Linked DNA regions of Elephas maximus indicus. The protein of the gene in region 1 purifies or fractionates together with the protein of each later gene. This does not show direct contact. Links are inferred from orthologs where the notes say so. Each region holds a gene or a part of one and is shown in the gene's direction. Other genes may lie near its edges. The genes, in order: RFC4, RFC1 and ATAD5.

The links.
Region 2: the proteins of RFC4 (region 1) and RFC1 fractionate together in Homo sapiens (co-fractionation; 7 studies listed by BioGRID and IntAct, counting the BioPlex papers as one, with this or other methods). This does not show direct contact. The link is inferred for Elephas maximus indicus from reciprocal best matches to the Homo sapiens genes RFC4 and RFC1.
Region 3: the proteins of RFC4 (region 1) and ATAD5 purify together in Homo sapiens (affinity purification with mass spectrometry; 5 studies listed by BioGRID and IntAct, counting the BioPlex papers as one, with this or other methods). This does not show direct contact. The link is inferred for Elephas maximus indicus from reciprocal best matches to the Homo sapiens genes RFC4 and ATAD5.

Annotation. Positions count from the first base shown.
Region 1 is NC_064819.1:28,234,932-28,245,312, forward strand, and holds the start of RFC4 (replication factor C subunit 4), read left to right. Parts: upstream 1-5,284; 5' UTR 5,285-5,363; intron 5,364-5,463; 5' UTR 5,464-5,584; intron 5,585-6,867; 5' UTR 6,868-6,879; coding exon 6,880-7,010; intron 7,011-10,381. Other genes in the region: ADIPOQ (adiponectin), read right to left, coding at 4,616-4,793. UniProt on the Homo sapiens protein: Subunit of the replication factor C (RFC) complex which acts during elongation of primed DNA templates by DNA polymerases delta and epsilon, and is necessary for ATP-dependent loading of proliferating cell nuclear antigen (PCNA) onto primed DNA.
Region 2 is NC_064823.1:121,464,493-121,474,873, forward strand, and holds the start of RFC1 (replication factor C subunit 1), read left to right. Parts: upstream 1-4,069; 5' UTR 4,070-4,211; coding exon 4,212-4,214; intron 4,215-10,381. UniProt on the Homo sapiens protein: Subunit of the replication factor C (RFC) complex which acts during elongation of primed DNA templates by DNA polymerases delta and epsilon, and is necessary for ATP-dependent loading of proliferating cell nuclear antigen (PCNA) onto primed DNA.
Region 3 is NC_064837.1:26,696,630-26,707,010, forward strand, and holds the start of ATAD5 (ATPase family AAA domain-containing protein 5), read left to right. Parts: upstream 1-4,184; 5' UTR 4,185-4,203; coding exon 4,204-4,269; intron 4,270-6,914; coding exon 6,915-8,845; intron 8,846-9,861; coding exon 9,862-9,982; intron 9,983-10,381. UniProt on the Homo sapiens protein: Has an important role in DNA replication and in maintaining genome integrity during replication stress.

The DNA of each region.
Region 1 (10,381 bases):
GTATATGATGCGATTGAAAATACCATGGCTTCGGTCAGGCGCACCTTAGTCTTCAAGGTGACATCTTTGCTCTTCAACACTTTTAAGAGGTCCTTTGCAGCAGATTTACCCAATGCAATGCGTCTTTTGATTTCTTGACTGCTGCTTCCGTGGCTGTTGATTGTGGATCCAAGTAAAATGAAATCCTCAACAACTTCAATCTTTTCTCCATTTATCATGATGTTGCTCATTGGTCCAGTTGTGAGGATTTTTGTTTTATGTTGAGGTGCAATCAAAACTGAGGGCTGTGGTCTTTGATCTTCTTTAGTAAGTGCTTCAAATCCTCTTCACTTTCAGCAAGCAAGGTTCTGTCATCTGCATAACGCAGGTTGTTAGTAAGTCTTCCTCCAATCCTGATGCCCCGTTCTTCTTCATACAGTCCAACTTCTCAGATTATTTGCTCAGCATACAGACTGAATAGGTATGGTGAAAGAATACAACCCTGACGCACCCCTTTCCTGACTTTAAACCAATCAGTATCTCCTTGTTCTGTCCAAACAACTGCCTCTTGATCTATGTAAAGGTTCCTCATGAGCACAATTAAGTGTTCTGGATTTCCCATTCTTCTCAATGTTATCCGTACTTTGTTATGATACACATAGTCGAATGCCTTTGCATAGTCAATAAAACACAGATAAACATCCTTCTGGAATTCTCTGCTTTCAGCCAGGATCCATCTGACACCAATAATGATATCCCTGGTTCCACATCCTCTTCTGAAGCCGGCCTGAATTTCTGGCAGTTCCCTGTCGATATGCTGCTGCAGCCATTTTTGAATGATCTTCAGCAAAATTTTGCTTGCATGTGGTATTAATAATATTGTTCTATAATTTCCATATTTGGTTGGATCACCTTTCTTGGGAATAGGCATGAATATGGATCTCTTCCAGTCAGTTGGCCAGGCAGCTGTCTTCAATATTTCTTGGCATAGACGAGTGAGCAACTCCAGCGCTACATCTGTTCATTGAAAGATCTCAACTGCTATTCCATCAATTCCTGGAGCCTTGTTTTTCGCCAATGCCTTCAGAGCAGCTTGAACATCGACTAATTCTTTTTGGTATGACTCTGTGTATTACTTCCATCTTCTTTTGATGCTTCCTGGGTCGTTCAATATTTTCCCCATGGAATCCTTCACTATTGCAACTCGAGGCTTGAATTTTTTCTTCAGTTCTTTCAGCTTGAGAAACGCCAAGTGTGTTCTTCCCTTTTGGTTTTCCATCTCCAGCTCTTTGCACATGTCATTATCATACTTCGTCTTCTCGAGCCGCCCTTCGAAATCTTCTGTTCTTTTACTTCATCAATTCTTTCTTTTGCTTTAGCTGCTCGACACTCAAGAACAAGTTTCAGAGTCTCCTCTGACATCCATCTTGGTCTTTCTTTCTTTCCTGTCTTTTCAGTGACCTCTTGCTTTTTTCATGGATGATGTCCTTGATGTCATTCCACAACTCGTCTGGTCTTCGGTCACTAGTGTTCGATACGTCAAATCTATTCTTCAGATGGTCTCTAAATTCAGATGGGATATGCTCAAGGTCATATTTTGGCTCTCGTGGACCTGCTCGGATTTTCTTCAGTTTCAGCTTGAACTTGCATATGAGCAATTGATGGCCTGTTCCACAGTCAGCCCCTGGCCTTGTTCTGACTGATGATATTGAGCTTTTCCATTGTCTCTTTCCACAGATGTAGTCAATTTGATTTCCGTGCATTCCATCTGGTGAGGTCCATGTGTATAGTTGTTGTTTATATTGGTGAAAGAAGGTATTTGCGATGAAGAAGTCGTTGGTCTTGCGAAATTCTATCATTTGATCCTCAGCATTGTTTCTATCACCAAGGCCATATTTTCCAACTACTGATCCTTCTTCTTAGTTTCCAACTTTCGCATTCCAATCGCCAATAATTATCAATGCATCTTGACTGCATGTTTGATCAATTTCAGACTGTAGCAGCTGATAAAAATCTTCTATTTCTTCATCTTTGGCCCAAGTGGTTGGTGCGTAAATTTGAATAACAATTGTATTAACTGGTCTTCCTTGTAGGCGTATGGATATTATCCTATCAGTGACAGTGGTGTACTTCAGGATACATCTTGAAACGTGCTTTTTGACGATGAATGCAACACCATTCCTCTTCGAGTTGTCATTCCCAGCATAGTAGACTGTATGATTGTCCAATTCGAAATGGCCAATACCAGTCCATTTCAGCTCACTAATGCCTAGGATATCGATGTTTATGTGTTCCATTTCATTTTTGACGATTTCCAATTTTCCTAGATTCATACTTCGTACATTCCAGGTTCTGATTATTAATGGATGTTTGCAACTGTTTCTTCTCATTTTGAGTCGAGCCACATCAGCAAATGAAGGTCCTGAAAGCTTTACTCCATCCACGTCATTAAGGTCGACTCTAATTTGAGGAGGTAGCTCTTCCCCAGTCATCTTCTGAGTGCCTTCCAACCTGGGGGGCTCATCTTCCAGCACTATATCAGACAATGTTCCACTGCTATTCATAAGGTTTTCACTGGCTAATGCTTTTCAGAAGTAGACTGCCAGGTCCTTCTTCCTAGTCTGTCTTAGTCTGGAAGGTCAGCTGAAACCTGTCCTCCATGGGTGACCCTGCTGGTATCTGAATAGCGGTGGCATAGCTGCCAGCATCACAGCAACACGCAAGCCCCCACAGTACAATAAACTGACAGACACGTGGGGGATTCTCCACATAATAGTGGCATAATAGCATCTTAATGACTATCCACTAAAAATAAATAAATAATAAGTGGTTAATAGCTACAGCTGCTAGCCAAAAGGTCAGCAGTTTGAATCTACCAGCTGCTCCTTGGAAACTATGGGGCAGTTCTGCTCTGTCCTATAGGGTCTCTGTGAGCTGGAATCCATGGCAACAGGCTTGGTTTTTATTTTTTTTACTATAAGTTTATCACCTGGTTTAATCACACAAGCACCCATGTGTAATGCAGAAAACAGTATGTATTTACACAAGACATTTCTTGTTCTGGTGACAGAGACAATGCTTCATGTGCACATAAATCTGTGAACTACCTGGGTCAGGCTGTGCACAGGAATGGCCAGCTGAAGGAGTAAGTAGAGGCTGAGATCCAGCCCAGCCTCTAATCACCTAGTCTTTCACACCATCAAGGGGCTGAATATGCCTGAAGGAAGGGAGCACTTCTTTTAATTGGTCTCCCAAACCTGCTACCATTCAGGTCTCTTTTTTTCCTGCTTAGCATAAAGGCACCTCTGTGCCAATCCTAGAGTCCCTGGATGGCACAAATGGTTAAGCACTCGGTTGCTAACAGAAAGGTTGGCAGTTGGAATCCACCCAGAGGCACCCTGGAAGAAAGGCCTAGCAACCTATTTCTGAAAGACTTAAAAAAAAAAAATTGCCATTGAGTTGATTTTGACTCATGGTGACCCCAAGTGTTTCAGAATAGAACTGCCGTCCATAGGGTTTTCAATGGCTGTAATCTTATGGCATTAGATTGCCAAGACTTTGTTCCACATCACTGCTGGGTGGATTCAAACAGCCAACTCTTCTGTTAGTAGTTGAGTGCAAATCGATTGCACCACCCAGGGATCTTAAACCAAATCAGTTGCCATCAAGTCATCTCCGACTCAGCAACCTCATATATTTCATTGTAGAACTGTTTGCCCTCAACAACTAACCTAAAGGTTGACAGTTCGAACCCACCCAGTAGTACTGCAGAAGAAAGCCCTGGCAATGTGCTTCAGCTACAATTACAGCAATGAAAACCCTTGGAGCAGTTCTACTCTGTAACACATGGGGCCATAATGAGTCGGAATCAACTCTGCAGCAACTGGTTTTATCACGTTGAGTATGTGCCCCCAAAACTTAGTCATTTCATTTGGAAAAGACCTATATCATATGCATTAGGGTAGTTAGTAAAGGTCTGAAAAGAAGGTGGAGCCCTGCTGGTGTAGTGGTTAAGAGCTTGACTACTAACCAACAGGTCGGCAGTTCAAATCCACCAGCCACTCCTTGGAAACCTTGTGGGGTGGTTCTACTCTGTCCTATAGGGTCATTATGAGTTGGTACTGACTGCACAGCAATGGACTTGTTTTTTGGTTTTGAAAAGGTAGCATCTGAAAAGGGTCTGATTTCAATAGGATTTAGGAGCAATTCAGAGCTAAATTAAGTACTGAGGAAAGATAAAAAGAGTGTTCTCAGACACCTGCCTAAAGCCCACGGTGCATGTATCCTGGTGGGGTTAAACATTACCACCCATCACATAACTTTTTTGAGCGCCGGCACCCTAGATTCTGAGCGGGGCTTTAAAAGATGACCATAGCTGAAGGGCTGCTAACCAAAAGATCGCCAGTTCGACTCCACCAACCGATCCTTGGGAGTTCTATGGGGCAGTTCTACTCTGTCCTATAAGGTCGCTGTGAGTCGGAATCGACTCCACGGCGATGGTTTGGTTTTTTGGGGGGGGGCGGGGTTATAGCTGAAGGGCAGAGTCCTCCGTCTCGGCAGACAGTAAGAGAGGTGCAAACCATGTGCGTTCCAGCGGCCGAGGAAAGGCATTTTCTTCAGACGTCTCTGTGCTTACCCTTGAAGGACAGACGGGGTTTTGCTCCGCGACGAAGCCAGAGGGAGAGGACCGGGGTCCGCAGGCTGCCCTCTTCTGGCGAAGGATCGCCTCCGGCTTTCCCAACCCCGTCCTTTGTGGGGGGCAGCGCGTGGCCAGCCGCATCTTGTCGCCGCAGAAAGGCCAGTAAACGCCCCATGACTACAAATGAAGTTCACGGTGCTGGGGTTCACGTTCTGCAAGCTCGCACCTCAAAAGAGAGCCGGCCTCCCTGAGAGCCAGGGTGGGCGGCGGGGTTCCCAAGCCCGGGGCGCGCTCTGCCCCACCCGCCGTGGCTGTGAAGGGTCGCAGACTCGCCCCGCCCACGTTCACGGAGCAGCCCGCTGAGTGGCCCGAGCGTCGTGCCCCCAGTTTGCTTGCTTGGCCCCCCGTCCTTCGGGGACGGTCGCGCTCGAGCTTCCCTGTCCTACAGCCTGTCGGAGGAATGCACGGGGACAGGGTGGACTTTTATTTAAACCTCCTTAGACATGTTCCAATCTCTGCGTCCCTACAAGTCTGTCTATGAGCCCAAGGATCTAAATAAGGCCACTCATGAGTAACAACCACCCTTTCGCCCCATCTTCCAAAAAAAAATCTTCCAGGCACCCCTAAAACGAGCGGCGCGCGCCGAAGACCGGAAGTGACGCGCTGCGTACGCACGCTTCCCGCCCTGCTTTGCGCCGGCTGTTCCGTGGCGGGAACTGAGGCGGCTGCAGGAACGGCGGCGACTGTTAAGTTCCCTGCGACCTGGTGTCTCGGAGCTTCCCGGGCCTGGGGTCCTCTGCTTGGGGAAAGGAGCTAACACTTCGTGACCGCCCTGTCCTTTCCAGAAACCCCACAAACGAGGCGGTGTCGTCCTCGCTGCGGAGACGAGTGGCTAGAAGGCCCAGGTTGTGCCCGGGTCCCCGCGCGGAGTGGAAGAGGACAGGTGGCCAGGCGGGAGATTGCCAGGTTTGCCTTCGCCTTCCTCTACTCCTGCTGCGCCCTTGATGGGTCTGTGATGTCTGTCACGTCCACCGTAGCGCTCTAGCCTCGCCACCTTCTCATCCCCGGTCTGCACCCCGTCTTGCACTTGCGGCGTGGCGCAGTGTCTGTTTCAGAGCCCTGCTTTGGGCTGCATTACTGTTTAGCAGCCCGTGGCAAGCATCGAGTACTTTTAGTAGTAACGTTAAAACCTTGACTGTTCACAGATATTAACAATATACTTTATTGAATGTTCGTCCACATGCCAAGCACGGACCTATGTGTTTGCACACGTATTCTTTTGTTTAACTCGGTTACCTTATGGAATAGGCTTTAGCGTCTTTTACAGAGGGAAATCGAGCATCTTAGGTGGTAATCCATTCACCAGGTATCATGGAGCGCCTGCCACTATTCTAGGCACTGGGGGGATACAGCAGTGAACAATATAGAATGGCCACTAATGCTGTGAACTTTCAGGCAAGCAGATGATGCTTTTCTATCCCTAACAACTGCCTTCCCCCTGCCTGCAAGAACGTTTACCTGAATGCGGTTGTCTCTGGGTGGGATTTCTTACGAATTTTTAATTCCTCATGCTTTTCTGTATATAATTTATTTTGTTTTTTGTTTAGAGTATACAGAGCAGAGCATAACACCAGTTCGTTTCAGTGACATTGTTTTGATTTCTGATAGTGAGCACATTATTAAAAAAGAAAAACAGCCGTTTCCATTTTAACAACAGAATACCCTGCCCCATTTAAAAAAAAAAAAGGCTTCTGAAGGCAGTCATTGGCTCTGCCAGTAAAATAGGTCCTTGAGCAGAGCTCTGTGCTCAAGAAAAGGAGTGGAGGTCCTCATTTGTGGTCCCAGCACCCCTGAATGCTGAGCTCATCCCAGGGCCTGGGCTCGCACCAAGCCCTTGACTGAAATGGAGGAGACTATAGAGGCCCATGTACAGTTTGACCATTAGTGACATATTATCAAAGAGTTTGGAGCTGTTAAGAAATGGTGTTTGGGTTCTGACATAAGATTTCTCTTGGTTCTATAACTCCCTCGCTGTATATAGAGTCTAAGCTCCTTAAGGACTTTGGCCTCTTATGTGTCCTTGTAGCCCTCTGTACAATGCATTCAGAGGGTCCTAGGTCATGGGGTGATGTCCTTCATTTAGTATGCAATGATTGAATGTCTTTGCATAACTTTAAGCGTGCTTTCAGGAAGTACTTCCTCCTAATGATTTCAAAGTAGCTTTTCCTTTTCTGTCTTCTGTGAGTCAGGGTGAAGTAACCATGCAGGCATTTCTAAAAGGTGCATCTGTCAGTACTAAACCAGCACTCACCAAGGATCGAGGAGTTGCTGCCACCGCAGGAAGCAGTGGAGAGAACAAGAAAGCCAAACCTGTTCCATGGGTGGAAAAATAGTAAGTACGCTTCTGTTTTTTTAAAATAATTAACAAATAACCTCTCTAACCAGTTTTGAAAGAGTCCCTGGGTGGCACAAACTAGTAGCCAAAAGGTTGGCAGTTTAAACCAGGGCTTTGGTTTATTCAAACCCCTGCTGAGTATTTGCATTTCCACCCCAGATACACTGCATCGGAATCTACATTTTAACAAGATCCCTGATGATTCTTATGTGTGATAAATTAAGCATATTATGTATAATAACCACTGCTGTACTAGTGTTCTCAGAATTGGTCTCTAAGCAGCAGCATTAGCATCACCTGGGAACTTGTTAGAAATGCGTATTCTCAGCCCTGGTTCGGATCCACACAGAGGCACCTTGGGAGACCTTGTGGTCTGGCAATCTGCTTTCGAAAGTTCACATCCTTGAAAACCCTGTGGAGCAGTTCTGCTCTGGACACACAGGGTTGCCATGAGTCAGAATTGATGCATAGCATTTAACAGCAACAACTCGTTTTGATCACTTGTTTTACTTAAGGGGGGGTGAATTGCTTTGCTTACATGTTGTCCTTAAAAATCACCACTTGTTTAAGTCATGGAGATTTAGAACTGAAAGATGCCTTAGAATGATCTTGTTTAATTCCCTTATCCTGTGGATGGACCAAGGTTTCTCTACACTAAGCACATTTTTAGGGGCTGGGATACAGCTGTGAAGAAAACAAAGTTTCTATAAGCTCTTGTTCAGAAGTTTACTTACGTCCAAATAACCTGTTTCCCATTTCATTACTAATAGGTGAAAATTGTTGGGGTTTTGTGTGTTTATACCTTTTTGTCAAAAACAACACTCGAAGTGCCTCATAAGTTGTCAATCAACTAAGAAATATTACGATAAAAAGCTTTTGCCATCGAGTTGATTTCGACTCACAGTGATCCTATAGGACAGAGTAGAACTGCCCCTTAGGGTTTTCAAGACTATAATTTTTACAGAAGCAGACTGTCACATCTTTCTCCCATGGCACATCTAGTGGGTTTTAACCACTCAGTTAGCAGTGGAGAGCTTAACCACTGCAAGCACTGAATGTGCCCTTATTTACTGAGGGTTTGCAGATGACTTATAGGCCACGTAAAACCCTCATAAGTTTTGTTTTCCCCCAACAATGCTTTTAAAAAAAAAATGGGAAATTTCACATAAAAATCTAGTTTATATCATGGAAGCTCCATAGACACATCCAAACTCCCTGAAGGACCAAATTAATGGGCTGAGGGCTGTGGGGAACATCCAGCTCAATTGGCATAACATAGTTTATAAAGAAAATGCTGTACATTCTACTTCAGTGAGTAGTATCTGGGGTCTTAAAAGCTTCTGAGCAGCCATCTAAGATACTCCACTGGTCTCACCCCGTCTGGAGCAAAGGGGAATGAAGAAAACCAAAGACACAAGAGAGAGATTAGTCCGGAGGATTAATGGACCACAACCACCACAGCCTCCACCAGACTGAGGCTAGCACAAGTAGATGGTACCTGGCTACCACCACTGACTGCTCTGACAGGGATGACAATAGAGGGTCCCGGACAGAGCTAGAGAAAATATAGAACAGAATTCTAACAAAAAGAAAAAAAAACAACAAAACCAGATTTACTGGCCTGAGAGAGACTGGAGAAACCCCAAAAGTGTGGCCCTGAGACACTCTTATAGTTCATTACTGAACTCACTTCTGTGGATCACCCTTCAGCCAACAATTAGACAGGCCCATAAAACAAAATGAGACTAAATGGGCACACCAGTCCAAGGGCAAGGACTAGAAGGCAGGAGAGGACAGGGGAACCCAAGGTCGAGAAGGGAAGAGTGTTGACATGTCATGGGGTTGGCAACCAGTGTCAAAAAACAATATTCATAAAACCAAAACCCGTAGCCGTTGAGTCGATTCCGACTCATAGCGACCCTATAAGACAAAGTAGAACTGCCTGACAGAGTTTCCAAGGAGCGCCTGGTGGATTCAAACTGCCGACCTTTTGGTTAGCAGCACGAGCACTATGCATATTTAATAAGAAACTAGTTTGCTCTGTAAACCTTCATCTAAAGTACAATAAGAAAATTTTTTTAAAAATCGATGTCTTAGTTATCTAGTGCTGCTACAACAGAAATATCACAAGTGGGTGGTTTTCACAAAGAGAAGTTTATTTTCTCACAGTCTAGTAGGCCACAGGTCCACATTTAGGTGTCAGCTCCAGGGGATGGTGCTCTGTGTCTGTTGGCTCTGGAGGGACATCCTGGCCATCAATCTTCCCTTGGTCTAGGAGCTTCTCCGCACAGGAACCTCAGGTCCAAAGGACATGCTCTGCTTCTGGTACTGCTTCCTTGGTGATATAAGATCCCTCTGTCTCTCTGCTGGCTTCTCTCTTTTATTTTATCTCAAAAGATAGTGGCTTAAGACACTGTGAAATCTTGTAGATCTCATCAGTATAACTGCCACTAATCCATCTTCTTACGTCATAGTGATGGGATTTACAACACATAGGAAAATCACATCAGATGACAAAATGGTAGACAGTCGTACAATACTGGGAATCATGACCTAGCCAAGTTGACAGATATTTTGGGGGGACGCAGTTCAATCCATGACATTCTAGTTTTTCTGCCTCTAAGACTGGGCAACCAAAAAGCCAAGCCTGTTGCCATCGAGTCAATTCCTACTCATAGCAACCCCATAGGACAGATAGAGCTGCTCCATAGGGTTTCCAGGGAGCAGGTAGTGGATTCGAACTGTGAACCTTTCGGTTAGCAGCAGAACTCTTAACCATTGTGCCACCAGTGCCATAGTCCCCACTGTTTTCTCTTGTCTCTCCTTCTCAGTATCTGCCTTGGCCCAGCAGTTATTTGAATATGAAACACTGGTTTATATAGTATTAGTGGTTTCCCTATAAAACATCATCTGACATATAATTCCTGCCTAGTATTGACCTGATTAATTAGAAAAAAAAAACAAATTTATCTTTTTTTAGTATTGACCTGATTAATTAGAAAAGACTTGATCAAAGAAAAGCTTTTGATTAGTTAACTGAGTACAATGCCCAGTCTTAGGGTTGGGAGTGTAACTGTTCTAGCTTCTCTTAAAATCACTAGTTAATGATGTGAGACTAAAATTATATAATTTTACTGTACTTCATGTTTGTTAAACTTGTTAGTCCTCATTGAAGTGAACAGATCTCCAGTGTTTTCTGTGCAGTAAGGTGCTGGAAGATACTGGTATTAGCAACGTTAGCGCTTCTTACCCTGAGGTTGGAAACCCTGGTTGTGTAGTGGTTAAGAGCTACAGCTGCTAACCAGAAGGTCGGCAGCTGGAATCCACCAGGTGCTCTTTGGACACCCTATGGGGCAGTTCTACTCTGT
Region 2 (10,381 bases), on another chromosome or scaffold:
CTGGGGGAATCCTGAGACTATGGCTCCCAGACACCCTTTTAACTCAGAACTGAAGTCACTCCCAAAGTTGACCCTTTAGTAAAAGATGACACAGGTTTGTAAAACAAATAACACAGGTGAGGAATGTGCTTTTTAGCCCAATCATGTAAATGAGACCAAATGGGCAACACCTGCCCAAAAGCAAGGAGGAGAAGGTAGGAAAGGACAGGAAAATGGGAGGGAGGAATGGAAATGGGGAACCCGGGGTGGAGAAGGGGAGACCGCTGACACATCGCAGGGATTGCAAAGAGGCCCAGGATGACCTTGTGAAGACCAAGGAGGAGCCATACCTGGTGATGCCCCTGCCCCCTGTGTGCCAGCCGATGAATGACCATGTCCAGGACAAGCTGCAGGAGGAGGACGCTGAGTACACGGGCTAGAGCACCGAACTCCCCAGTGAGGGCATCAGGGACTACTGCAAGGAGAAGCAATGGATCACTGAGGCCAAGAAAAATGACGTACTGGGGCAGCTGCTGACTTTGACCAACAAGTTGTCCCAGGCCAGAGATGAGAATAAGAGGATCCACAACAACATCAGCCACAATGAGAACATGTGGCAAGATAGGAACAAGTGCAAGATGCTGTGGCAGATCCGGCAGGGCAACACCAAGCGGAGGATAGATGAGCTTGAGGCCGTGTAGATGCTCTGCGAGGAGGGCAGGACTGTGGGCGGGCAGGTTGGGTGTGATGGCTTCTGGGAGTCACTGTCAGACACCTAAAACAGTTTTTTTTTTAGTATTCTAAATGTAGAACCCCCCCATCATATTCCAGTTTCTTTAAAAAGTGAGTAGTTATTTCAGTTATTTCCATGTCACAAAACAATTTGTGTATACATTGAGTGAGAAACTAATTTGTTCTGTAAACTTTCACCTCAAGCACAATTAAAAAAAAGAAATCTCACCTAAATTCAAAGAATCTTCAAAATGCTAAAAAAAAGAAACACAAAGTTTAAAAATAATGTAAGAGAAACTAAAACTTATGAGAAAAAAAAATCTAGTTAAATGAAAGAGGAACTGCCCCATAGAGTTTCCAAGGAATGCCTGGTGGATTTGAACTGGCCAGCCTCTTGGGTAGCAGCCATGGCACTTAACCACTACACCACCAGGGCTTCCAAAATGAAAGGAGAGACTCTTTAAGAAAAGGGTATGGAATGGGCCCAATCAAATAAAAGAATGTTGAACGCTATCAGCTGGGCAAGTTCCAAAGCTGTGTGAGCAACCCTGTATATTCGCTCAGCAGTGTCTTACACATAGGTGTTCAATGAGTGTGCAGGGGATAACATAAAGTGCAGGCAACTTTGGGTATGGCAATGTTTGAACATAAGTTTCCAGTTGTTCTCTAATCACCTGCTTAGGATTCCAACTACTTTTCCATCTGGAGCATTTAAGATGAACTGGTTCCCAAATGTCCTGTTTCCTCCTACTCTACAGCTAGTTTATTACGAAGTTCCCAGGTTCCTGCAACCTCCTAGTCTTTAACATTTTCTTCTCTTTTATCATTTATTTATTTACAACTCAGAGAACATTGCTATTTGGTTTAAGTCCTCTGAAATTATAGGCAAAATTTTGTGTGATATTTCTACTATGTATACTTTTCTGGGGGTGGAGGTAGGCTCATGGTTTTTATGGGTTTCTCAAAGGATCTAACAAGGCCTCCCCCAATCAAGTATTTTGTTGAGCAAATTGTGGGCTAGGGAAGTCCATTTTTGGAACTATATCTCCCTCAGTAACACTAGCTAGCCTTGCATATGAACAGCTATAATAATAGCTGACTTAAAAATTATTATTATTATCTGCTTATGTGCCAAGAACAGTTCCATAACAGTCCTATAAGGTATTATTTCATTTTACAGATGAAGAAACTGAGGCACAGCAGTGGTGTCATTAGGGTTGGTGTTACCCAGAGTGGTAACTCATGGTGTCACTCCTCACCCCCATGGATTCCTCCTGTACCAGACCATACACAATCCTCAGTAATGTTTTTTGTACTAATGTTATTCATAAATCATAATTCCTGTAAATCGCTCCTTCTTTTCCTTTAATTACTACTTCATTCTCAAAAAAGTTCTTGATATAGGTTCACGAATACTAATTAGCACAATATTGTAGTTAAAACACCAGAAAATGTGGCAAGATCAGCAACTATAAAAGCGTCGGCAGTAAAGAAAACAACAGCGCATGCTTGATGAAACCACATGATTCCAAGCATCCTTGTGCTTGGGTGATAATGACAGCTCTGCCCAGAGTAGAAGGTTTGAAAAATAAATTAACATAGAGTTTTAGCTTTGTAGGTACATTGATACATGTAAGCTGGGCTTATGAAAAAACCTTTTTGTTTTGTTGTTATAACTACATGGATATTTTCAGTCATTTTGGTGTCATTCCCTCTGATAGTATCACCTGCACCCCCCACATGCCCCTAGTGACGCCGCTGATACACAGTAATTTGCCCATAGTCACACAGCTAGCATGAAAATCCCAGCATACTGGCTTCAGAGGGACCTATACAATGAGGCCCTGTTCATGAGTAAGTTTACTCCTTTGTAAACTGGGAATAATAATAGTAGCCAGTGTCAGTGTGAGGATTAAATGGACTAAGATAGGATAGTCCATAGCTGCATGCCTGGCACACATTACAATACACATTTTAAAAATACAAAATCTCAATTCTCAGCCTCTCTGTATTCCAGGAGGCTTTGCTATCTTTCACTGTAGAGATATCAGTGTCATAAAGTGCATGACTAGACAGGGGGTGGGTGGGAAAGCCTGAGATATTGGTCTCCACACTGTACTCGTTTCTTCAAAAGCTTTTGGGATCATTGTTTTTCTACAGCGATGGCGATGCATCTTTTTTGTGTTGGGGCTCCATACACACCACTGCTCTTCGAGGGGTTTAGACAGTAGTGCTGGGTTGGGAATTAGGAGGCCTAGATTCTGATACTGGTTTAGATTTGGAACAAAGCTGGATCCCTTAACTTGTTTAAGCCTCATGGTTCTCATTTATAAAATGAGGTTGATGGTGGTGACTAAAAGATTTTACCAAAGTTCTTTTGCACTGAATTATACAATATAAAAATTGTCCTTAAACCCTGAGTCTTGCAAGTGGTTAACACGCTTGGCTGCTAACTGAAAGGTTGGTGATTTGATCCACCCAGAGGGGCCTCGGAAGAAAGGCTTGACAAGATACTTTTGAAAAAATTAGCCACTGAAAACCCTGTGCGCCACAGTTCTGTTCTGACGCACATGGGGCTGCCATGCCTCACTGTCAACTTCAGGGCAACTGATACTGGTTTGTTGTTGTTAGCAGCCACGTGCCCACTATGGCTTGTGAGGACCCCATGCACAACGGAATGAACCACTACCTGATTCAGCTGCAGACAGGACCACTGTGATCCATAGGGTTGTCATTGGCTGATTGTCAGAAGTAGATCTCCTGGCCTTTCTTCCTAGTCTTAATCTGGAAGCTCCACTGAAGCCCGTTTAGCATCGTAGCAACACGCAAGTCTCCAGTGACAGATAGGTGGTGACTGCACATGTCCCTGAGTGCACTGGCCGAAATGGAACAGAGTCCCCACACGGAGGGTGAGAACTCTATCAGTGAACCATCAATGCCTCGCGGTACTGGTTTAGCCTGGTGATTCTCAAACTGTGGGTCTCCACTAAGATTACGGTAAATATTGATCGGTGAAATTCTTGTTTCAGGGTAGATATTTATACGTAACATCTGAAATGTACTGTATATCTAAAATGAAAGAAATATGTACCCTATTGCAAGTGGTAGCGTAGGGCAGTGCATCCTCCATACGTGTAAGCGGGAGGAGCCTGGGTACGGCCTTCCGAGGAAAGTAACCAATCTCTGAAACTCAATTTAAGCTCCCCGCCAAAATCCGAAGGCGCAAATCTGAGCTCATACCACGACCTCTTCTCTGCTGGCTGTGGCAGTGGCCCGGGGCCATCCGGGGCGGCACCTAGGCCAACAGCGTACCTCCCCCTCCTGTCCGGGTAGTAGGGTAGCTGCGCGCCTTCTGTCGTCATCACCGGGCGCCGCTGCCTCCGCCTCCTTCCACTTCGCGGGAGAAGTTGTTGGCGCGAATGGACCCCGAGCCCCGGTAACGGATTCCCCAACCTGCCGACCCACCTGCTGCCCGTCCGCGCTTCAGTCGTTGGGCTGCAATGGTGAGCCCTTGGGGGACGTTGTGCAGCTCCGGGGCTTGGACCTTGCAGGCTGGGTGTGGACGGGGCAATGCTGGCATGCAGGATGGGGGTTGGGGGCGGTGGGTGGCTCCGGAGGGGAGGGAAGGCATAGAAGGGGCCACACACCAGGCACCGGTCACACTGTTTTCCTGGTCGCGGACTCCAGCCCTCGGCTGCGGTCAGTGCGCAGGGCTTTTGGTCCTGCGCGAGTGTTTCACTTTTCCCACCCTTGGGGGAAGGGAGGAAGGAAGGAACGTGATTTGGGGGCGCACCGTGAAGTTGTTTTCCTGTTCCGTGTTGCACCGAACCTCAGTTTGAGTCCTGCCTGCAATTTTTATATCAAGTATGGGTCATGAGGGAGAAGAATGTAAAAAAACTTTCCTTTGCTGTGAATAAGTTGTCTCAAGCCTTCAACTTTAATCATTAACAGCTGCGCGAAACGCTCATCACATAGCCATTTTGAGACCGAGGGCATGGAGAGATGCTTTATTTTGTTTAGGTGGGTTCACAGAAGTCAAGGGATAACAAGGTTTACCAGGGGGAAAAGTACAACGGATAGAAATAGATGTAATACATTTGACAGCTGTCATCTCTTATCACCTGACTTTAAAAATAATCTAAAGCAAAATAAAGCAGGAAAAACTCAACGCGTAATTCCGTATAAACCATTTAAGTAAATAAAAAGTGCAATAATTATGCAGCCCGCAAAACAGACATCCATGATGGTATGGCAATGAATACAGGTATTTGTGTGAATTATTTTTAACTTAAAGGACAATTTAAGATGCGTCATTAAACCAGAAGATACTTAATACTCAGACATAATTTTGTTAATCATTCTTCAGCATATTTGTCAGAATGCCACCATTCTGGGGGGAGAAAGTTTTAGGCCAGGTTGGGAAACTTACAGCCTTTTCTGTTTCTCCTCAAAGAGGGTTAAAATAATAATGATGACAGCCATCCTGTACCAAGTGTCTGCTTCAGCCCGGTATGTAAGCTGTTTGTTTTACATACCATTTTTCATTTAAACATAACAGCAATCCAGTTTTACAAATGGTAGAGGAGGCCTTCAGAGTTTAAATGGGTTGTCATGCAACGAATATGATTGAACTAAAATTAGAACTCAAGTTTTTCAGACTACTTTGTTGTACTGCCTCTCCAAGATGGTCACCATTGCATTTTGGAGTTCAGACACCATGGTAGTGTGGAAAGTTGATGAGATTTGGAGTCTTGAAGCTGAGAGTGGGGTGATGTTTTAGTCTCATTCTGCTATTTAATAGTTACTGGTCTCAGGCAAATAAGTAGCTTAACTTTAACCCCTTTAAGCCTCTAATTTCTTACCTGTAAAAGAGGGTGGGGGCAAGGAAATATAATAATAGCTGCCTTATATAATTGTCTTGAGAACCAAACAAGATATATAAAGCTTCCATTCCAGTGTCTGGCTTGTAGTAGGTGTTACACAACTACCAGTGATCTATTTTTCTTTATAGAAAAGTGACATAGTGTTTAAGCGTATGCCTCCGATATTGTTGTAATGCTGAACAGCTGCTGATATAGTTAACTTTTGGTCATTCGAGTACTTTAATTTTGGTTCTTTCCTATTTCTTTGGTACTTCTGCTCACAGTGCAGGTGAAAAATTAAGTCTTTCTCAGGAAAGAAAAAGTCAAATTGGTGAGTTTTATTGTTTGTAATGGGAAAGGTTTTATAGAGTAGGTATATTTTGGATTTTATTGGTGTTTAGCAAAACCCTAGACTAACATTCTGTTCAACAAATGTTAATTGAACACCTGTGCACAAGTTTTATTATAGTTGTTGCTGTTAGTTACAGTAGAGTCGGCCTCTGATTCATGGCAACCCATGCACAGTGGAACAAAATGCTGTCTGATCTTAAACCATCCCCATAATCTCTTGTGGATGGATCATTGTGGTCCATAGGGTTTTGACTGGCAGATTTTGTGAAGTAGATTGCCAGGCCTGTCTTCCCAGTCTTAGTTTGGAAGCTCTGCTGAAATCTGTTCAGCATCGTAGCAACACGTAAGCGTCCATTGACAGATGGGTGGTAGCTGCACATGAGGTACATTGGCTGGGAATCAAACCCAGGTCTCCCACGCATCCCACCAACCAAAACGCATAGAAGGCAAGAATTTTATCACTGAACCACCAATGCCTCTATAGTTCCTAACCTTTGTTAGGGTCACAGTTCCCTTTGATAAATGTGGTGAATGGTATGCAAATTTTCTGCCCAGAGAAATGCACATACACACTATTTTAGAGAATTCACATATCTTCTGATACCCATTCATAGACGCAAGGTAACAGATCTTGCCCTGAGAGCTTCATTTTTCTCAAATATTTTCCAATTAAAAATTATCAGTAAAGGAATAAAATACCATATCCACACAGTGAAATATTATGTTGTTATTAGTTCTTGTTGAGTTGATTCTGACTCATGGTGACCCTACATATGCAGAGTAATGCTGCTCCATAGGGTTTCCAAGGCTGTGACCTTTTGGAAGCAGTCACTAGGCCTGTCTTCCAGGGGACCTGTGGATGGGTTCAAACCAACCTTTCAGTGAGTGGTCATGTTCTTAACTGTTTGACCCACTCAGGGACTCCACTATGCAGCCATTAAAAAATGAAGAAAGTTCATGTCCTGATATGAAAAAATTGCCAAGATGAATTAAATGGAAAAAGTAAGGTGCAGAATAGTGTGTAAAGTATGGTACCACTTAATGTAGTAAAATGGGAGAAAGAATACATACGTATTTGCTTGGAGATGCATAAACTATCTGGAAGGATACACAAGGAACTGAAAACATTTTTTGCCTCCAGGGATGGGAAGTATGGGCCTGAGAGGCAGGGTGCAAGGGAGAGTTTTACCCTTTGGAATTTTGAACCATGTGAATGCGCTATCTGTTAAAGAAATTGAAACAAAATTAAAAATAAAAAGGAATTAGAAAAAAGCCATATGGACTCCTATGAGGATTTAACTGTTTGCTCAAAATGTGAATAAAACTTGAGAGATGCCATTTTTAAGAAGTCAGCATATTTAATTCATTGGCTGATATGTTGTTGTTATAAAGTTGTTAGGTGCCATCAAATTGATTCTGACTCATAGCAATCCTATGTATAATAAAACAAAACACTGCCCGGTCCTGCACCGTCCTCACAATCGTTTTTATACTTGAGCACATTGATGCAGCCACTGTGTCAGTCCATCTTGTTGAGGGTCTTCCTTTTTTTTGCTGACCCTCTGTTTTACCAAGCATGATGTCCTTCTCCAGGGACTGATCCCCTCTGATAACATTCCCAAAGTATGTGAGATGTAGTCTAGTCATCCTTGCTTCCAAGGAACATCCTGGTCTTACTTCTTCCAAGACAGATTTGTTCATTCTTCTGGCAGTCCTTGATATAGTCAATATCATTCTCCAACACCACAATTCAAAGGTGTCAATTCTTCTTTGGTCTTCCTTATTCATCCTCCAGCTTTCACATGCATATGAGGCAATTGAAAACACCACTGCTTGGGTCAGGTGGTTGGGTCAGGCATACCTTAGTCTTCAAGGTGACATCTTTGTTTTTCAATGCTTTAAAGAGGTCTTTTGCAGCAGATTTGCCCAATGCAATGGCCTTTTGATTTCTTGACTTACTGCTTTCATGAGTGGAAATGCTGGTGATGTACTGGTAAAGAGCTACGGCTGCTAACCAAAAGGTCGGCAGTTCGAATCCACCAGGTGCTCCTTGGAAACTCTATGGGGCAGTTCTACTCTCTCCTGTAGGGTTGCTATGAGTTGGAACTGACTTGACGGCAACGGGTTGTTTTTCGGGTTTGCTTCCATGAGTGTTGATTGTGGATCCAAGTAAAATGTAATCCTTGACAGCTTCATTCTTTTCTCTGTTTATCATATGTTGCTTATTGGTCCAGTTATGAGGACTTTTGTTTTCTGCATGTTGAGGTGTAATCCATACTGAAGGCTGTGGTCTTTGATTTTTGTCAGTAAGTGCTTCAAGTCCTCTTCACTTTCAGCAAGCAAGGTTGTGTCATCTGTATGTTGCAGGTTGTTAATGGGTCTTCCACCAATCTAATGCCCCATTCTTCTGCATATAGTCCAGCTTCTCAGATTATTTGCTCATCATACAGATTGAATAGGTGTGGTAAAAATATACAGCCCTGATGCACATCTTTCCTGACTTTAAACCACACAGTATCCCTTGTTCTGTTCGAACGACTACCTCCATCTATGTACAGGTTTCTCATGAGCACGATTAACTGTTCTGGAATTCCCATTCTTTGCAGTATTATCCATAATTTGTTATGACCCGCACAGTCAGTGCCTTTGCGTAGTCAATAAAACACGGGTAAACATGTTTCTGGTATTCTCTGGTATAATTATTTTTTATTGAAAATATGCATAAGGTTGAACTACACATTTATTAATTTTAAGGAATAACCTTTTTGAAGAGCTGTCGAAACCTAAAAAATCAAATCCGTCGGCATCAAGTCGATTCCAACTCATAGTGACCTTCTAGGACAGAGTAGAACTGTCCCATAGCATCTCGAAGGAGCAGCTGGTGGATTTGAACTGCCGATCTTTTAGTTAGCACCCGAGCTCTTAACCACTGCACCACCAGAGCTCCAAGAACTGTCAAGTCAGTCTAAGTACATTGTAATCTGAGCTACTTGATTGCCCTACTCTGGTGTGTGTGAAATAGTCCTATTCCAGCAATGCTGTGACCCTATTACAATGTAGCTTTTGCCTGATGTTATTGTTTGGCCTTTAAGGCCTACATGGTCTGACCCCTACATAACTTTGATCTCATCTCTCTGTCTCTTGAACATGTTAAGCTGATTTTTCTCTTAGGGCTTTTGCTCTTACCATTTCCTCTCCTTGGAATGTTCTTCCTCTAATCCTTGCGTGTCTGCCTTTCCCCATCATTCAAGTCTCAATCATTACCTCCTCAGAGAGCCTTCCCCAGTTCTAGCTAAAGCTGCTGCTCTACTCTACAGTTCACCCTTACACGTTTTGTTCCCTAGCACTTGGCAACACCTGGAAATATATATATATATAAAATTCACCTATTTGAATTGTGTACTTCGGTAGTTTTCAGTATAGTCACCAAGTTCTGCAGCTGTCTCCACAATCAGTTTTAGAATTTTTATCACTCCAAAAAGAAAGCATGTACCCATTAGCAGTCATGCCCCATTTCCCTCTAATTCCTGTCCCCAATTCCTAGGCAACCACCAGTCTACCTTCTGTCTCTATGGGTTTGCTTAGTCTGTACATTTCATATGAATGGAGTAATACAATATGTATGGTCTTTTTTTTTTTTAACTGTGATTTAGGTGAAAGTTTACAGAGCAAGTTAGTTTCTCATTCAAACATTTATGCACAAATTGTTTCATGGCATTGGCTGCAATCCTGCATTGTGTCAGCACTCTCCCCCTTTCCCTTTCCACCCTGGGTTCACCGTGTTCATTCTTCTGGTTTTCCTGTCCCCTCACACCTTCTTGTCTTTGTTCCTGGGCAGGTGTTGCCTATTTGATTTTCTATACTTGATTGATCTAAGAAGCATGTTCCTCACGTGTGCTATTTGTCTTATAGATCTGCCTAATCTTTGGCTGAAAGGTGAACTTCGGGAGTGGTTTCAAGTCTGAGTTAGAAGGGTGTCCAGGGGCCATAGACTTGGGGGTTCTTGCAGTCTCAGTCAGACTAGTGATTCTGGTCTTTTTTTGTGAATTTGATCATTTGTTGTTTATTTTTCTCCCACTGTCTGGAATCCTTTTATTGTGATCCTAGCCAGAGTGGTCAGTACTGGTAGCTGGGCACCATCTAGTTCTTCTGGTCTCGGGGTTGTGTAGGCTGTGGTTCATGCGGTCCATTAGTCCTTTGGACTGATTGCTCCCTTGGGTCTTTAGTATTTTTCCTTCTCTGCTGCTCTGGATTAGAAGAGACCAACAGTTGTATTTTAGATGGCCGCTTGCAAGCTTTTAAGACTTCAGATGCTACTCACCAAAGTAGGATGTAGAAACATTGTGTTTAAGAATTAATTTGTGCCAATTGACGTAGATGTTCCCTGAGTCTGTGGTCCTTTGCCTTTGAGCCTGGGAACTTCATCCCGTGAAGTGTTTAGTTATGTCTAAGAAGTT
Region 3 (10,381 bases), on another chromosome or scaffold:
CAAGCATTACTTTAATAAAAAACACAAGCAATATTGAAAAAAGTAAGGGTTAGCCGGATGGAGAAGATGTTCTAAGTATATTATAAACTCTAAATGACTATAGAAACATGACAATTCATTTAATTTAAAATTAATAAATGCCAGGAGCTCCTAATTAAGGGTTATGTAAAATAATAACCACATTTATAAAAATAAACTCAGTATAAATGCTTCATAATTCAGAAGAATAAAAAGTGCCAGAGATCCAAGGCACAGTTGCTTTCTATTTGCACGGAGCAACAGAGGAAGAAGGAGAGTCAGGAATAGAAGGAGGAAATGGATGTGTGGCTAACTGCCTCAATGAACAACTGCCATCTCTGCCATGAAACCAGAAGAACTGGATGGTGCCTGGTTACCATTACTAAACATCTTGATCAAAGGTTCTTTAGAAGATTCCTGATCAAGAGGAGGGAAATGTAGAACAGAATTTCAAATTCTCATGGAATCCATACTTTCTGGAGCCACGGAGGCTGGATGAATCCCTGAAACTATTGTCCTGAGATAATCTTTGAAACATAAACCGAAACCAAAACTAGCCCCTAAAAACCAAACAGAAGTTTACCTTAAATAATAAAGAATGTCTGCTTGAGCGTTGTGCTCTTTTCAGATCTAGCTATATGGGATCAAATTGACAACAGCAATTGGAAAGGTCAGATAGGAAGATTAGGGGGCAATGAGTTTGTGTTAATGGGGGAAGAAAAACTCAGAAAAGGAGGATGAGAGCGGTTGCACAGCTGAAAGAATGTAATCAACGTCACTGAATTGTACATATAGAAACTGTTGAGTAAGTGTATGTTTTGCTATGAATATTCTCAAAGAACCAAAAATAAAATAAATTATTAAAAAAAAAAGCACTAGAGACATACCTTGTTGTTGTTGTTAGGTGCCATCGAGTTCGTTCTGACTCATAGCAACCCTATGCACAACAGAACAAAACACTGCCCCATCCTGAGCCATCCTTATAATTGTTGTTATGCTTGAGCTCATTGTTGCAGCCACTGTGTCAATCCACCTCGTTGAGGGTCTTCCTGTTTTCTGCTGACCCTGTACTCTGCCAAGCATGACGTCATTCTCCAGGGACTGATCCCTCCTGACAACATGTCCAAAGTATGGAAGACACAGTCTCGCCATCCTTGCCTCTAATGAGCATTCTGGTTGTACTTCTTCCAAGACAGATTTGTTCATTCTTTTGGCAGTCCTTGATATATTCGATATTCTTTGCCAACACCACAATTCAAAGGCGTCAACTCTTCTTCAGTCTTCCTTATTCACTGTCCAGCTTTCACATGCATATGATGCAATTGAAAATACCATGGGTTGGGTCAGGCGCACCTTAGTCTTCAGGGTGACATCTTTGCTCTTCAACACTTTACAGAGGTCCTTTGCAGCAGATTTGCCCAATGCAATGTGTCTTTTGATTTCTTGACTGCTGCTTCCATGGCTGTTGACTGTAGATCCAAGTAAAATGAAATCCCTGACAACTTCAATCTTTTCTCCGTTTATCATGATGTTGCTCATTGGTCCAGTTGTGAGGATTTTTGTTTTCTTTATGTTGAGGTGCAATCCATACTGAAGGCTGTGGTCTTTGATCTTCATTAGTAAGTGCTTCAAGTCCTCTTCACTTTCAGCAAGGAAGATTGTGTCATCTGCATAACGCAGGTTGTTAATGAGGCTTCCTCCAATCCTGATGCCCCATTCTTCTTCATATAGTCCAGTTTCTTGTATTATTTGCTCAGCATACAGATCGAATAGGTATGGTGAAAGAATACAGCCCTGATGCACACCTTGCCTGACTTTAAACCAATCAGTATCTCCTTGTTCTGTCCAAACAACTGCCTCTTGATCTCTGTAAAGGTTCCTCATGAGCACAATTAAGTGTTCTGGAATTCCCATTCCCATACTTTATACCCCACCAACTTCACTTCTAGATGTCTATCCTAGAGAATCATTACACGTACTCAAGGAGACATGGGCAAGAATGTTTGAATAACAGAAAACTGGACACAACCTAAATATTCATCACTAAGGAAACAGATAAAATGTAGTGTATAATTGGATGGCATACTTACGAATGAAAGGAGATGAATTAGATCTACATGCATCATAGATAGCTCTCAAACAATGGTGTGTGAAAAAAACAAATTGCCGAGGAATATTTACAGTGATACTATTTATATAAATAAAAACCATGCTAAAGATTTCCTATGGATACCTGTACGTAAGTATTAAAAAAAATATTACATTGCTACATACCAAATAGCTAGGAGTGATTACCTCTGGGGAGGAGATCGAGTTGGGGAGTGCAAGTCAAAAGAGATTTATAGTTTGCTCTGTAATTTTTTTGTGTGTCTTCTTTTTCTTCCTCTTCCACATTTTCTCCTTCTTCTCCTCCTCCTTTTTCAGGGCAATGTATCTATACTACGTGAGTTATTAGAAAAAAAAACAACAACAAAACGGTATATTCTCAGAAGACTGAAAGTAGTACAATCTTCCCCTCCTGACAAACCTTATTTGGTACTAATATTCAAGGGAAAAGTAATTCTTACTAATTTTATTGGGGAAAATGCATATGTGCTTATAAGTAGGAACTCTGGTGGTGCAGTGGTTAAGCATCTGGATGCTAGCCAAAAGGATGGTAGTTTGAATCGACCAGCTGCTCTTCGGAAACACTGTGGGGCAATACTACTCCATCCTATAGGGTCACTATGAGTCGGAATTGAGTAGAGGGCAACAAGTTTGTTTTCTTTGTTTGTAGCTCACCGCTGTGGAGTGGATTTCAATTCACAGCCACCCTACAAGACAGAGTAGAATCGCCCCCATAGGGTTTCCAAGGTTGTAAATCTTTACAGAAACAGAGTGCTACATCTTTCTCCTGCTGAGCAACTGGTGGGCTCAGCCACCAGGGTTCCTAACTCACTCTAAGACAGCACCAAAAACCATAAAGATGGGTACAATTACTTCAGTATTTAAAATCACTTTGCATAACCCGATCTAACAAGGTGGCTTCCCATTATTAGTTAAGTCCCTTTACCTGCTTTGTATCCGCTCTTACTTATTTTGCAGTTAAAACTATCCTCTCAAAAGAAATAAACATACACTAACCCAACCCAGTGCCCTCGAGTCCATTCCGACTCATAGCGACCCATAGGACGGAGTAGAACATACACTATGTGTAGGCACTTCAACATTAACATAACAGAAAAGTAAAGGCTAAACAAGTCCATGAAAACAATGCAAATGACGCACTAGGTTACCATCACTACAAACCAGCAAACTACTGGTACCTGCGAGCACTGAACACACGTCAACCAGTTGAGGCGGTGAGCTCGGGCTCCTGGACTGCTCACGAGGACGAAATCCACAGAAAGAAACGCCTCTTCAAATTAGGGGTATAAAGTCGAAATGTCGGGCCCAGAATAGTATATCTGATGTGGGACGCATACCAAAATATTAACATTTTATCTGAGTAGTAGGAATATAATCAATTTTTTTTTTCTGTAATTTTCAAATTTCCAATTTAAAGAAGGGGCTAGTCCGGGTCAAGAGTTCAGGGTTTTAATTCTGCCACCAACTGACTAGGTACCTTCGTTCAACCACATTCTCATCTGAAGCCGGGCTACTGGACACCAGAAGGAAGAATTTGCACACTCCCCACTGGCTTTACATTCCGTGATACAATGACCCTGCCTCCCGCCGACTCGCCGACGACAGTGTTTTGGCCCATTCAGCTCACCGTCCGCGCAGGCTTCCAGAGCAACCCTAAGCTCCGCCCCCTCCGCTCAGGACGGCGCGAAAACCCAATCGACGAGAACTTCTTGGGAAGCCCTCCGGTCCGGTCTGCGTTCGGTCTGCTTTCCCTGCCCCGGCTCCGGTCCCGAGCACTCGGCCTGGGTCGTCCGCCCGGAGGGGTCACCCCGCGCCTACCGGCCGCGCCCCGAGTGCCTCGCCGCCCGCGCTTTCTCAGCGCTCCTTCCCGCGTTCGACTTGGCTGAGCTGGGCCCGGCCTCCGAGCCCGCTCCGGGCCGGTGGGCGCAGGGGAATCCGAGACGGACCCCGCGGCCCAACTTCGCGCTCCTCCAGGAGCGGGCCGCCTCCATGGCCGAGACGCTGGCCGACCCGGTCCGCGCAAGGTCCTAGGAGCAGGGGCACCGGGAAGCGGCGAACATGGTAGGGGTCCTTGCCATGGCGGCGGCGGCTGCTCCCCCTCCAGTCAAGGACTACGAGATTGAGGTGAGATCGAGTGTCTGTCGAGTTCTCCGGCTGTTGGAAAACGGGTGGTGGTAATCCCGACTTTGCATCTCAGAGGGGAAAGGAGGAACACGGAGAGGCCCCCCAGGAATGACATCGTGTGGAACAGTTGCTGGAGTGTGTCGTTCTTAGAGTCGTGATGAATTCCGACAAACCCTGGTATTGTGAGATGTTTAGAGAATTGCAGTAAGTTAGGACTTAAGATACCATGGCCAGTGCCCAGATTCTGAAATATTGGTGGACTGTGATGTTTTGGACTTGTGAGATGTCACGGAGGATCCCATGGTCAGGTTCTGGGTTCATGATATGGAATCCTAGAATTTGAGTTGAAAAAGAGCTTTAAGTCCACCTATTTTATCCTCCCTGTTCTGGGAATGCCACTTACAGTGTCACTGCCAGAATCAAGCAGGGTAAATCTATTACCCATGGCTCTAGATCTTAATATACTGCAGTTGGAAGACCCAGTGTGCCGTGCTGATGTTTGTTCGTCAAGTTTCAGTGAAATACTCTAAGCATTCTTTATAAACCAAACCTGTTGCCGTCTAGTCGATCCCAACTCATAGTGACCCTATAGGACAGAGTAGAACTGCCCCATAGGGTTTCCAAGAAGCCGCTGGTGAATTCCAACTGCCGACCTTTTGATTAGCAGCCTAGCTCTTAACCAATGCAGCACCAGAGCTCCAAGCATATTTTGAAAGAAGATTCTAATACCAGAAAGTAGCAGGCCAGCATTTTAAGACAGACATTACATCTTTACAACTTTTCATCTCGTGTTAGCATTCAAACTGAAGTATGTGCTCTGGTGTCTTGAATGAACCCAGATGTACACTCATTTAAGGGGGATACTTGTTTGCTAGGTCAAGGCAGTTACTCAGATTATCTAGGTATGAAGAAGGTCTTCTGATACTTGAATTACACAGTTCTTGGCTTTTTGTGTGGTCACTTTTATCAGTCTTCGGGTTATGGTTTCTGCTCTTGGTGGCCTGCTTAGAGAGCCTATTTCGTAATAGTGATATTCACTGTTAAGTATGGTAAAGGGAAAGGCTTTATAAACATTATTTTGCTTAACGTCAACCCTGTAATGAAATATTATTATTTCTATTCTACAGATGAGAGAAGAAGATTTAAAAGTTTAGTTTGTTTAAGGTCTCACATTAGAAGATGTCAGAGCCAGCACTCAAACTTAGATCTGCCTGACTCCAGAGCATATAGTATAGTGCCTCTTATACCATCTCAGGGTTATGTAAATACTCATCAGTATTTTCTTCTAAAATGTTTATGATTTCTTTTTAACATATACAGATTTAATCCCTCCGTAATTTATTTTGCCTCGTATTTATCCAAATGGTTAGAAGTTGTCTCAATACCATTTATTAAATACTCCTTCTTTTGTCACTACTTTATTTTCTAAGTTCTTAAATATATACTTGTGTCTATTTCAGGTGTTCTAATCAATTCCATTGACCTGCCTACCTATTCCTGCTCCAGCACTACACTTTAAATCATGATAGCTTTATATAATTTTAATTTTCTAGAAGCCTAACTCCTCTATTCATTACTTACCTTTTAAAGGATTTCGTTGTTATTTTATTAAATTTATTCTAACTAATGAACTGAGGGAAGTTAAAATTAAAAAAAAAGAAAGACTGATGGTGCTTTTTGTAACCAATAAGGTAATATTTATTTTCTATTATGTAAATTACTGACTTATAACCAATAAAAATTTAAACATGCCTAGCATTATAGTCATCTTGATATTGTAAAGGTAATAACTAACGTAAAAGAAAGGCAGCAACGGTTTTAACAGCAAATTAAAACACTAGACTTGTAAGTGTTCTTTTGGTGAACTTGCACTGTAATTTCTACTTGATTAGTAAATTTTGGGATCCTAGGCTTGATGACTATGTCCCTGTTTCTTAGCAATAGTTAGGGTAATGTGCTTATTTTTAACTAAAAATAATAAAAAGGGAATATAATATGTGTAGAGTTCCTACCATCGTCAGACTACATATTTTTGTGTAATGTGTTCAGTACAATTTTTAAGGTGGAAGGTGCTATCTAAAGTTTATAGAGTAAACAGAGACTGAGAAGAATTAGGAATTTGCTCATAAGTATAGTAGGCTTGGATTTTTTTTAATGTGAACAATTTTTTAATGTAAACAAATATATATAAGGAGTCCCTGGGCAGTGCAAATGGCCAAGCGCTTGACTACTAACTGAAAGATTGGAGTTTCGAACCCACCCAGAGGCAGCTTGAAAGAGAGGCCTGGCGATCTGCTTCCAAAATGTCATAGCCTTGGAAACTCTATAGAGCACACTTCCACTGTGCAACACATGAAGTCTTCGTGAGTCAGAATCAACTTGATGGTATCTTGCTTGGTTTTTTGTTTATAATTATATATATACAGTAAAGCACACAAGTTTTAAGGTAAATCATTGGGACATTGAGATTTCAATATAGATTTAATTTTAAAGTTCATATTCTTTCCAGTATATCATGCTCGTCACATAAAGGAGCCTTCCTTTCTTTATCCGATTACTTTAAATATTAGATCCGTGTCTTAAATTTATATTTTGTATTATTTTTCTTGAAATAAGTGCCTCTTTTCCTTCTTTTAAATCTACAGCCATGCAAAAAGCGAAGGAAAGATGATGATGGATCTTCCTTTAAAACAATTACGAAATATTTATCACCAATAGAGAAGACTGGAGTTAGAGTTTTCTCTCCACCAAAATCCAATAATATTCTGGATTATTTTAGAAAAACTTCACCTACAAATGAGAGGACTCAATCAACGAAAGAGTGTAAGATAAAGTCATCTGCACCATTGCCTGTGGACAGTGGCAAAGATTATAAAACGCCTTTGGAACCGTTCTCAAATGTACAGTTTAAGAAGAGAGGAAAGAGAGTTAATTTATCACGTCAACTAAATAATGTTAAAACTGGACATGAATCTCCAATTGAAATAAGTAGTGATGATAGCAAAGAAGACTCTAGTTTAAATAATGACTTTGAAGAAAGCAGTCCTTCTGTTTTACTCCACCAGAAACATGTAGAGGTACCTGCAGAAAGTATTCAAGATTTCAAAAACCAGTCAAGCAATATGACCCGCAAACAGAATTCTAAGAAAGTAAACCCTAAACAAGGCACCACAAAAAATGATTGCAAGAAAATAAGAAAAAGGAAGCACAGAGATGTAGTAGATCTCTCCGAAAGTTTATCCTTGGCAAAGGAACTAAATCTTAAAAAAGATGGTAAAGATAATCAACAGATAATATCTTCCCTAACTGATGAAATAGAGAGTACTGCGCATGATGCAAACCCTGGAGATAATGTATCTAAAATCGCTGAGTTAAATGATAACACAATAACTGTTCCATATGAGGAATTTTTAAAAAGTCACAAGGAAAACAAAGTGGAACAGCTACCAGACTCTACAACGTCAGTGTCAATTTGTGTCCCCTCTGAAACTGTTGGAGAGATAGTCAAAAGTGGTTATATAAGTGATACAGAAACCTGTGAAAATTCTCAGCAGGTACACTTTAAGACAATGACTGTTCTTGCACAAGTTCACCCTGTACCCCCTAAAAAGGCAGGGAAAATACCCTCAATTTTCTTGAAACAAAAGCAAATTGAAATGGAAAATAGTCTCTCTGATCCTGAAAGTGAACAGACAGTTCAGAAAAGAAAATCTAATGTTGTTATACAGGAGGAAGAACTAGAATTGGCAGTGTTGGAAGCTGGAAGTTCTGAAGCTGTGAAGCCAAAGTGCACTCTAGAAGAAAGACAGCAGTTTATGAAAGCATTTAGGCAGCCAGCATCAGATGCACTTAAAAACGGAGTGAAGAAGTCTTCTGATAAACACAAAGACCTTAATGAAAAAGCTTTACTTGAGGAAGAAAGAGACAGTAGTTCTAAAAACATCCTGGAAAATGCTAATATCCAAATGATTTCAAATAACGACACTTCACAGTCACACACTGATAAAGGAAGTTTTCCTAAGGAGAAAAGTAAGAAACTAAAGCAAAAGAGTAAGAAAACATTAGATACTGGGGTTGTACTAGGTGAGACTAGAGAAGGAAATACCCAAAAGAAAGAAACAACCTCTTTAAAAGATAAGCAAAGTCAAAATAGAGTTACAATGAGTTTAAGGCGTAAGAAAACAGAAGTTTTCAAAAGCAGCACATTATTTAAAAGTAAAAGTCTTGTTTGTGACGATATAGCAAAGGCTGACCCTTTAGAGATTTCCTCTCTACATAACAACAGTAAGTCATCAAGAAAAACCAGTCTTCCAGTTAAGGATGTCCAAGTTAGACATTCTAAAGCTGAGCCTGAAGACAGCTTGGTAAATGTTTCCACACCCAAACCAACCAGAAGGTCTGTGAGAAGGAGCAGCACACCTACCGCAATAATCATCAGGGGTTCTGATTTTGAAGATTCGGAAGATAATAGTCCAATAAAGGCTTCCACTCCAAAAGCAGCCAGCTTTTCAGGAAAGCGTAATTTATATACAGCGGAATTAATAACAGTACCCTTTGATTCGGAGAGTCCTATTAGGTAAAGTTTTGTTTTTATTTTAAAATTCAACGATTCTATGTAAGTTCTAGTATGTTGCATGTAATATTAGCAGGGAAGGAAAATATTTCAAGCATCAGAGACTAGTATTTTTTCTAGAACGTAACTGATTTATTTTGTAAGAAAAAGAACAGGGTTTCAAAAATGCTGCTGTTTTCTGCATCGGGCATAATTTCAGAAGCGTTCTAGATATATTTTAGTAAACTCTTCATGTAATTGCTAATTCCTGGAGAAATATCCTTCAGATATGAGTTCTGTGTATATAATGCGCATGAGTGTGAAAATAAATCAGAAATTTATTTCTTGGGTGAACTGGCCCATAACACTATGTGGTGTATTATTGCTTGCTGGCTCTAATAGAAGAGTCATCTTGGGGGCTAATTTTCTGTAAAGCTTTTTTTTTTTTTTTGCTTTTTTTTATTGTGCTTTAGGTAAAAGTTTACAGCTCAAGTTAATTTCTCATACAAAAATTTATACACATATTCTGACCCTAGTTGCCATCCCTATGATGCACACCCTCCTTTCCACCCGTGTCTGTTCAACCAGCTCCTATCCTTTTCTGCTTTCTCATCCCGCCTCTGGACAGGAGCCGCCCATTTAGTCTCATGTATCACTTGAACTAGGAAGCATGCTCTCCGTGAGTATTATGTTTTATAGTTCAGTCTAATCCTTGTCTGAAGAGTTGGCTTTGGGAATGGCTTTAGTTCTGGGTTAACAGAAAGTATCCAGGGGCCAGGCCTTCTGGGGTTCCTTTAGTCTCAGACCATTGAGTCTGCACCATGCTTTATCTCTTGCTCCATTAAGGATGTAAAACTTAATTTTAAAGGAAACATTTTATATTTTCCAAGAGTTTCACATTAAGTTTGGTGTTTGAAACTGGAGTTTTTAATGTTTTAGAACAGCCCTGAAATGGAAGATCTAGTTGATTCTTTCCTGTATTTGAGATTCTTATATTTTATAATCATGAAAATGTTCCTGAATACCTTTTCTTTTTTCAGAATGAAATTCACCAGAATTACTACTCCCAAAAAATCTAAGAAAAAATCTAAGAAAAGAGGTAAGAAAAGATCTCAGAAATCTGAAGCAACTGATGGAGATTTCACTTCTCAGACCAGAAAGGTAATTGAAATATTAGTCCTATAAGTAGTATTTTATTTTCTTTAAATAGCATCAACAAAAAGCTACTGTTTGGAAGTAATAAGCCAAAAGATTCACATACTTCATTGATTATGTTAACCACAGTCTTAAATTATTTTTTCACTATTATTCCATTCCTCTAGTTAGTTTTTTTATTAAAATGTCAAGTTATTGTAAGATGAAAGCAATTGATAAGGTCAGAATGTAATCTTAGAAAAAGCTTTCTTAGAATTACATTGCAGTCGTTTTTCCCTGAGGCTGCCTACAGGTCATGATCGGATTTTTGGTTTATTTCTATAGATTAGAGGTTCAGCCTTGGCACTGTTGACATTTTGGGCTGTATAATTCTTTGTTGTGAGGGGCTGGGGCTGTTCTGCGCAT